2 linked regions of the Tribolium castaneum genome follow. The protein of the gene in region 1 binds, or shares a complex with, the protein of each later gene. Links are inferred from orthologs where the notes say so. Each region holds a gene or a part of one and is shown in the gene's direction. Other genes may lie near its edges.

Region 1 (5,395 bases):
GTGTTAAGTCTTATAAAAGTTATAAAACAAGTGTATTATTTTTTCTACTTTTTCTATTTTTGTTGTTTCCTCTTAATTTTGTTAATTATTCGGGCTTTATCAGTAAACGACTTGATGCTGTTGACAGATCACACACTAGATTACAGTGATGACACCCAGCCCTCTTAAAAAAGTTCTTTTTAATATGAGTTAATACAAGCGAACTCCTTGGTGAATTTTAATTTTATTTTAATATTTGTGGTCAAGGTATGACCCTGTGGAGTTGGACCCCGAGGAGATGTGTCCTTTGGCGGCCTCCCAGCCGCAGGTCCTCTCAAACTACTCCGTTTCGGACGCCGTTGCGACCTACTATCTCTACATGCAGTACGTCCACCCTTTTATTTTCGCCCTTTGTACCATCATCCCTTGTGAGCCGGACGAGGTCTTGCGGAAAGGCTCCGGTGAGGCTTTCCCCAGCCCTTGGTCCCAACTTCGTCATTTGGCGGGTTTTAGGCACCCTTTGTGAGGCCCTTTTGATGGTGGAAGCCTTCCATTGCAATATCATTTTCCCCAATAAGGAGGAAACAGTCCTTAATAAGTTAACCGACGACGGTCATGTCCTACACCAGGAGACTTACGTCGGCGGCCACGTGGAGGCGCTCGAATCAGGGGTTTTCCGCGCCGATATTCCCTGCCGTTTTCGGCTAGAAACCGACGCCCTTAACAAACTAATCGAGCAAGTGCCCAAAACCCTCGCACACGCGATTGAAATCGAAGAGGGCGTGCCGTTGACCGACGTCACTAACCTTGAAGAAGTAACCAATGAGATTGTCGCAAAGCTGACAAGCCTGAAGGAACAACCAATGAGATTGGAGCGTCCGTTAATCTACCATTTGGACGTGGGGGCCATGTACCCGAACATTATCCTAACCAATCGGCTACAGCCGTGTGCCATCGTCGACGAGACAATTTGCGCCGCCTGCGATTATAATAAACTGGGCGCCAGGTGCCAGAGAAATATGGCCTGGATGTGGAGAGCGGAATACAGTGAGTTGGAGAAAAAATCGTTTATTCAACTCGTCAATTTTTTGTAGTGCCAGCGTCGCGAAATGAGTACCACCGCATCCAGCAACAACTCGAAACCGAGAAGTTCCCCCCGCAATATCCCGGGGGACCCCAGCGGGCGTTCCATCAACTCACCAAACAGGAACAAGCCGATTTGGAGAAGAAACGGCTCACTGTTTACTGTCGCAAGGTTTATAAGAAAGCTAAAGTCACCAAAATCGAAGAACGGACCACTACGATTTGCCAGAAAGAGAATTCGTTTTATGTCGACACAGTTCGGGCATTTCGGGATCGAAGGTATTTTAATTAAAGCCCTAAATAAAGTTCATAAATAAATGAAATAAATTTCAAATCCACAACAAAAAAATTCTGGCGAAAAAGTCATTAAATATTAATTGAATCATGTATTTTTAAACAAACTTTGAATTACTACAGTTCTTTTACTGTTTTGAATGTCATTGCTTTGATTTGGTTGGTGTAGGTATGAGTATAAAGGCTTGTCGAAAAAGGCAAAGCAGGCCGTGGCCGCGGCCATCAAAGGCGGCGACGCGTCCGAAATCAAGTCGGCCAAGAACAGGGAAGTGCTCTACGATTCGCTGCAATTGGCCCATAAGTGTATTTTGAATTCGTTTTATGGCTACGTGATGAGACGAGGGTTGGTGGTTTTTTCTTTGTTTGCATTTTTTCTAGTTGTTTTTTAGGGCGCGTTGGCACAGTATGGAAATGGCGGGGATTGTGTGTTACACGGGCGCCAACATTATAATGCGCGCTCGTGAAATAATCGAAAAGGTTGGCAGGCCTTTGGAACTTGACACTGACGGTATATGGTGTATTCTACCGGCTTCGTTTCCCGAAAATTTCGTCGTGCGTACCAACCACGAGAAAAAAAATAAAATTGTGGTTTCTTATCCTAATGCCGTGCTTAATGCCATGGTCAAGGAGCACTTCACCAACGATCAGTACCACGAACTGGTCGATGCGCAAAGTTTAAAGTACGAGGAACGGTCAGAAAACTCGATTTTTTTCGAAGTTGATGGGCCCTATAAAGCCATGGTACTGCCGGCGTCTAAGGAGGAGGGGAAAAAGTTGAAGAAGCGCTACGCTGTCTTTAATTTCGACGGTACTTTGGCCGAATTAAAAGGGTAGGGTCTAGGGATATCTAAAGGTTAGGATGTGAAACGACGTACGGATAAAACGTTCCGCCCTCCATACTTCCGATAATGTCGCCAGAGGGCGCAGTATAAGTTTTCAGAGAATTTGAAAAAATTATTGTGTCTAACGGTTAACACACAGCAAACAAAAAATACAGGTGGATAGAGCATTAAATTCTCAATAGTAAGACATTAACATAATGCAAAATATGTATAGTATACTATATTTAAAAAAAAAACTTTTACCAATTTGCACTCTGCGGTTACAGAAGCAAGAAAAATGTTTGAAAAAATACTTTTTTTTTGGTTCAGAAAATCGTGCGATTTTGTACATCGTTTCGTCTCCTAACTTGTAGTCCTCCGTAGTAATAAAATTGGCGAAAAAAATATTTTTTTATAGTTTTGAGGTAAAACGTCGCGGCGAACTCCAGTTGATCAAAAACTTCCAATCGTCGGTGTTTGAGGCGTTCCTCAAAGGCGACACTTTGGAGTCGTGTTACGCGGCCGTTGCCCAAATCGCCGATTATTGGTTAGATGTTTTGTTTTCGCACGGTCGTAACATGCCCGATTCTGAGCTGTTCGACTTAATTTCGGAAAACCGATCCATGTCGAAGAAACTCGAAGAATACGGCGGCCAGAAAAGTACTTCAATTAGTACCGCCAAACGTTTGGCCGAATTTTTGGGCGATCAGATGGTCAAGGATGCCGGTTTGGCTTGCAAGTATGTCATTTCGAAGAAACCAGATGGCGCTCCGGTTACAGAAAGGTGAAAAATCCCTCGTCCATCCAAAAATTTGGTCTACATTTGGACGCCTGTAGATAACAGTTGAACTTGCAGAGCTATTCCATTGGCGATTTTCCAATCGGAAGTCAGCGTCCAGCGGTACTACCTGCGCAAATGGCTCAAGGACAACTCAATAAACGAAGTCGACATTCGCGAAATCTTGGACTGGAACTACTACATTGAGCGCCTCGGTGGTGCCATCCAGAAAATCATCACAATCCCGGCGGCCATGCAAGGAGTGCCCAATCCGGTGCCACGTGTCCGCCACCCTGATTGGCTGCACAAAAAAATGCTCGAAAAAAACGACACTTTCAAGCAACGTCGAATCACCGACATGTTTGCCGCTTGTCCCAAACCGCAAACACTGCCCGACATTGAGGACTTTGGCGGTACTTCCAGCACCGACAAACGCCCCATTGTAACAACAATTAAACGAAAACGAGACTCCGATAAAGAATCAGGTCTACTGCCAGTGAGCGCAATTGTTTCCTAAATTATACTCTTCCGTAGAATCAGGTTTCACTGAAGAAGATCTGAGTAAGACGTGGCGTGAAGTTATGGGGAACCCGCCCCCTTACGGTACCACCAAGGAGGAACACTTGGCTTGGATAACGTTCCAGAAACGCAAGTGGCTGTTCCAGGCCATGCAGCGGGCCCAAGGCACCCGCAACAGGAAGAAGGCCAAGTCAAGTGCCTCAGTTTTGCGCAGCACCGTCACTGGTACTTTGAGCGGGTTCCTCCAAAAAGCCCAAAAAACCCTGCTGACGGTTCCTTGGCAAGTCATACAAGTGGCCCCAACGCCAGTCGCAGGCGAATACAAACTATGGGCCCTGATACTCAACGAACTCCACCAAATCAAGTTGGTAGTGCCGCGAATTTTCTACGCCAACTTGAAGGAATCAAAAGTGGTGGAAGAAGGCGCTCTGTTCAAGAAGTGTAACCGCACGTTGCCGCGTACGAGACAAGTGTACAACTTGTACATGTACAGTGTTCCCGAAGAAGTGTTCCAGGAACACGGCCGGAAATTGTACTTGGATCAGACGGATCCGAATGTTGAAGGCGTTTACGAGACGCAAGTGCCGCCGCTGTTTCGCACTTTTGTCCAGATTGGTTGCTTGTGTAAAGTGGTAGGACAGGTTTCAAGCTTGGAAAGCTTCCCATTGGACAATTTGGAGTTGTGTACGGCGCGAAACCAATATTTGGTCAAGGATTCGGTGAAAAGATTGTTCTTTTATAATCATCGGCACCCAACTAAACCGCAACAAATCTTCGGGTTGTTCTTGACTCCCTTGAAGAAGGCGCTGGTTGTGGTCGTTGATACGGTCAAGACCAACTTGATGCCGAATTTGAACAAGTTGTACCAAGCCGAACGAATGGCAAAGTGAGTACTGGATTTACAAAGTGGCTTATCAGCTCTTTCAAAACTATAAAAATATAAACTATAAAGATTGATAAAAACGCAAAATAGTCATTAATGATTAGTTCTCTCATTGAAACTTTAAACTAGATTTACTAAAAATTTCTAGGGTTAAAACAAAAAAAAACAATCTTCACATTTTTATTTTTATTTAATACACTATCGGACAAAAGTAAGGCAACATTTTGAAAAATATAGAAATTAATGTCTATCTAATGTAAATAAATTATGATCGGGCAAACTATGGTATTGTTAAAAGAATCAAAGGAAGCTACTGTCATTAATGTCAAGTAATTATTTATTAAGGTTGAAAAAAACCGCTTTGTTGACTTGTAGTGTAAAAAAGGATTATTTTAAGACGACAAAAGTAAGGCAACATTTAGATTTTTTTCAAAAAATGTTGTTATAATGAAAAATTTGTTAGGCCAATATTAACAGTTCGTCTTGCGCAACAAGAGCCATGCCAACGGGTACACCAATTGGTAAAGAGTTGAAAGAAAGAGTGATCGATGCTTTCTTAAACAATGAAAAACAAGCGGATATTGCAAGAAGATTTCAACTGCCTAGATACAGCGTGTCTAAAATAATTATTCGCTACAACGAAAGAGGACATTTAAACAATAATCCAAAATCGGGACGACCACGAAAAACCACTATAAACATGGACAGACGCATTAAAAGAATTTCGGAAAACGATCCATGGAAATCTGCATCTAAAATTATAGCGGAAATACCGGAAGTAGGAGTTAGTACACGAACAATTCAAAGAAGACTGGTTGCAGCAAAGCTTTTTAGTAGACGTCGTGCTAAAAAACCTTTGATTTCAGAAAGAAATAGACGCGCCAGACTTCAATTTGCAAGAAAACATTTGAATTAGACAAAGCAAGATTGGAGGAAAGTTCTTTGATAGATAAAATCAAGGAAGTGTGGTCAAATCTGGATGAAAATGTTATTCAAAAATTAATTTCTTCAATGCCCAGACGGTGCCAAAAAATTTTA
Region 2 (4,114 bases), on another chromosome or scaffold:
ATACGACTGATAAAATTGTAAAATAGTTATTAATGATTAGATCTCTCATCGAAAGTATTAATTACATTAGCTATTATTTTTTTGATGTGCATGAATATATAACAGCTAATTTTGAGAGAAATGCGACGTTGGCGTTTTTTTGAAACAGTTAGTTTTGAAACAGCTTATACAGGGAGTCCGTTATTCGAGCTCAACCATGGAGATCTCAGTTACTATAATAAGAGACACAAGGTTGGTTAAATTAAAGCAAAGATGTGCATTTTTATGTTGAAAAATTATCTGAAAGAAAATTTGATGTGGCATTTTTAGTTTTTGAATTATTGGAAATAATTGGAAATTTGTAATTTCCGTTTTTAATTTTTCAAGGGAAAACCAAAAGAACTAGAACTAGAACATTGTTCAGAAATTTTTTTACAAGAAATCTAAGTCTGTCATTCCATTTTTCAAGGCGTTCTTGATGTCAGAGTAACAACACTCAACTTTTTTTTTCTTATGGAAGCCATATTCACTTTTTCTATTTTTAAAAAGTGTTTTTATTTCCGGTTACAACGATGTATCACATAATATAAATGAATCATGTATACTGATCAAAATGAAGAAAAAATCATTTTTGCAAAGAGTGCTTTGGAAAAAAACGCCAACAATTTTGGTTTTAAACAAACTAGATTTTAGAAGTTTAATTGAATTTGGGTCTAGCACTTTTACATATCCGTCAAGCTTACTTATTAAAAACTAAACGACATGATAAACTAGGAGTTTATTCTTCGAAAAACAAAACAACACAAAGTTATAAAAATTCTGCTCTCATATTTAATAGAACAGTCAAAATTTAGTTTGTTAAACAAAGTTTTTTTTGTTTGCGCTTAATAAAATAAAAACCAAAATTATAAATTTTTGATTTTTCTCAATTCAAAAACTAAAAACCACACATCTAATTTTCTTTCAGATAATTGTTTAGCATAAAAATGCGCAACTTTGCCCATATTTAACCAACCTCGTATCTCTTATAATAACTGAGATCCCCATGGTAAAGCTGGAAAAACGGACACCCTGTATACTGTTGCCCACTTAGGTGGCAGGAAGTTGAAATTCCAAATTTTGCATCAGTTATATCAGTTATATCTTGAAAAATATCGCAGTTTGTGCAAAAATCAAATTTCAAAAAAAGCGGTTCAAAATCGTTCAGTAGAGGGCGCAGAGTAAAGTGGATAAAAATGTGAGATTTGATTTTGGTAGCCACTGTTGCCAACCTAATTTCTAGTTACAGAGCAATTTGATTAAAATTTAATAAATCCCCGTTTTTAGATTTAAAATGATCAAGCCTTGTTTAAGTACATTTTTGCGGATATTTTAGTAGAAAATGTATTAAAAATAAAGAGTTTACCATTCGTCCATAGATTAAAATCGGCTTCAAACACTTATCACAGCAATGAATCATGGGATTGAGCACTTTTTCGCCAATCAAATTCACTTTATGTGACCAATCTAGCCGCAACATTGGTTCTGGTGGCCCTCTGTTAATTGTTGTAAAAGTCGGTGCTTCCAGTTGGGAGATGTCAGCTTCCAAATCAACTATAACATTCAATTGTCATTCAAGGCTGACTTTAATTCAATTAAATTTACTTTTAGGTGCCACATTTTCGTTAGATTCACTTTCAGTTTGTTGTGCCTCTTCGGACGATTCTTGCAGTTGGGAATTATCCAGTTCTTCATCGCTTTCTATCACTTTTATGGCCTTTTTACCACGTCCGCGACCTCGGCCTCTTCCCCGACCTCTGCCTCGACCACCGCGACCCCGGCCGCGGCCCCTCTTGGGGGTACCATCGTCCATCTATGGGCAGAGTTATTGCAACAAACCCAACAAAACACTAAAATAGATGCGGTCAAAGTTATTACCTTTTATTTACTTGATCGTTGACGTAAGAGCGTCCATAATTTTGAGGTTAAGACTTTGTCAAATGAAGGGATACCAATCCACTTGGTACATCATTCAAAATTGAATACAAACCGCAATAAATTAACTTAATCAATAAAATTATCAATCCCTATCAATATACCGCATAAAAATAACACAACTGTGAGACAATCTAAGCCAAAATTGTATTTTATTACTAATTTTTTTAAATAATTTGGGGGATTTCGTTTTGTAACCACCTTACCTGACTTTGAATAGCGCGCGATTGAGGTTATGTTGTGAAACTTGAGTGGTATTTATTTAAAATTTTAACAAATAAAATGGAAGATATCAACGAAGTGGATATAGAAGAGATTGAGACTGAGAGGCAGCCCGTTACCGAAACGCCAGAATTCGTAGAATTAACCACAACATCCCCCGAAAAACCCAAATTAGTGAAACTACCCCTAGCTAGAATTAAACACATTATGAAAATGGACCCAGACTGTAATTTAGTGAGTCAAGATGCCCTATTTCTCGTGACCAAATCAACGGTAACAAAAAAAATTTGAGTGTTAGCTTAGGTACTCAATTAAAATTTCAGGAGATGTTTCTGGAGCACCTTGCTAAAGAGTCTGGCAAGTTTATGGGGATGGGGAAAAGGAAAACTGTACAGAAGCGAGACGTCGATGCCGCAATTGATAATATACCTAGTCTTTGTTTCCTTGATGGTGCCTTGGAATAAAATACTTTTAAGATTATTTTCAGTTAATTTTGGTAAATCTTATCCTATTTTCGTGTTTGCGCCTTCGCAGTTATGTTTAAAAAAAAAACAAAGAATAAATAGCAGATCTCTTTTCGAATTTGGAAGTTTTTTGTCTTTTCGGCAAATTATTCCTTTCATTTTCACTGAAAAATGTTTCTAAATTCACAATAGAGAACCTAACTAAATTAAGGATTTTCCAATTAGCTTCGGAAAAATCATTTGAATTTACATATTCGACGTAGGTTCATATGTTTTCTCTTTTTTGCCAATGTATTTCTAGATTAGTGAGTTTCTAATTGAAGAACACTCGCAAAATTCTCGAAAAATAATAGGAGTAATAGAATTAACATATTTGCGTCAGATTTACTCTAACAAGTTTCCACTTTATTTAGAACAAATCTCACAAAACGGTGAAATATGTTTTCAAATAAAGTCATATACAGGGTAAACCAGGGGTGTCCAATCGGTCCATAACATTTTAGCTAATTGATATATTGCCATGTCGTTTTTATTATCCCATATAACATGCTGATTCTTTTAGGACCTACAATTAGAAACTTTTTAACTTCTTATAGCTAGAGCTTTAAGATTTTGTATACAATCCAAATCGACCATTCTGAGTTCAACTAAATTATTTTCAAAATAGCTACGAACTACGAAAAATTGGCGCCAACTTTGAAATTTTAAATAGTAACCACCTATTTTTATTGCATTTCGCCACTTGAAACTGAGTAAAATGTTACTGAGTAGTTGTTAGTACTTATCTGTCATAGTTTTTGACGTACGTCAAATTTTTTACACAGATTTTTATTTTCAGGGGTTCATTTAAAATATCACAGCTTGTAAACCCTTTACAATAAGTAAATAATTCTTTTTGCATTTGATAGCCAAAGGTATGAAGAATTTTCTAAAATATTCAGGATTGTCAACTGTCAAATTGCAAGAATACTAGGATTTTTTGAAAATGATGATTAAAAAATGATTATAAAACAGTTTTTTCAAATGGAATGACCTTGTGTTTTCAATGGCAATCAAAATAACATCTATTTTTATGCAGACTTTTACTAATTAACATATATATTCGGTTCACTTTCATAAAAACCATTGTGGTGCAAATAACGTACTCTTGGCATTAACATTTACATAAGTTGTCATGGTAACAGGTTAGTCATTTGCACCACAATGGTTTTTATCAAAAAACAGTATTTTAGCTCATTATTTTCATTTTTAATCAAGTAAATTTTCGAAAAATACGATAAAATTTTACTATTAATCAAGAAACCATAATTAAATATTATTGTTTTACTGCTTATTCGATATTCGAACCACCTAAAAACTAAATAAAATATATGGAAGTTTGACAATTGCTTACGATTTTGCAAGGTCTACTTGATTAAGTATGGAAATTACGAAGTAAAATCCGTTTTTTTTGTGATTTTTTTCAAAAACTGTAA

The links. Proteins that work in one complex are often made in the same cells at the same time.
Region 2: PolE1 (region 1) and PolE4 share a complex: the UniProt entries of both Homo sapiens proteins name them as parts of the DNA polymerase epsilon complex. The link is inferred for Tribolium castaneum from reciprocal best matches to the Homo sapiens genes POLE and POLE4.

The regions. Positions count from the first base shown.
Region 1 is NC_087396.1:21,698,631-21,704,025, reverse strand, and holds part of PolE1 (DNA polymerase epsilon catalytic subunit 1), read left to right. Parts: intron 1-246; coding exon 247-440; intron 441-492; coding exon 493-1,026; intron 1,027-1,073; coding exon 1,074-1,341; intron 1,342-1,525; coding exon 1,526-1,699; intron 1,700-1,745; coding exon 1,746-2,186; intron 2,187-2,595; coding exon 2,596-2,961; intron 2,962-3,033; coding exon 3,034-3,440; intron 3,441-3,489; coding exon 3,490-4,360; intron 4,361-5,395. UniProt on the Homo sapiens protein: Catalytic component of the DNA polymerase epsilon complex. Participates in chromosomal DNA replication.
Region 2 is NC_087395.1:5,461,026-5,465,139, forward strand, and holds PolE4 (DNA polymerase epsilon subunit 4), read left to right. Parts: upstream 1-2,127; 5' UTR 2,128-2,235; coding exon 2,236-2,448; intron 2,449-2,498; coding exon 2,499-2,639; 3' UTR 2,640-2,655; downstream 2,656-4,114. Other genes in the region: E3 ubiquitin-protein ligase Hakai, read right to left, coding at 1,385-1,572, 1,624-1,831. UniProt on the Homo sapiens protein: Accessory component of the DNA polymerase epsilon complex. Participates in DNA repair and in chromosomal DNA replication.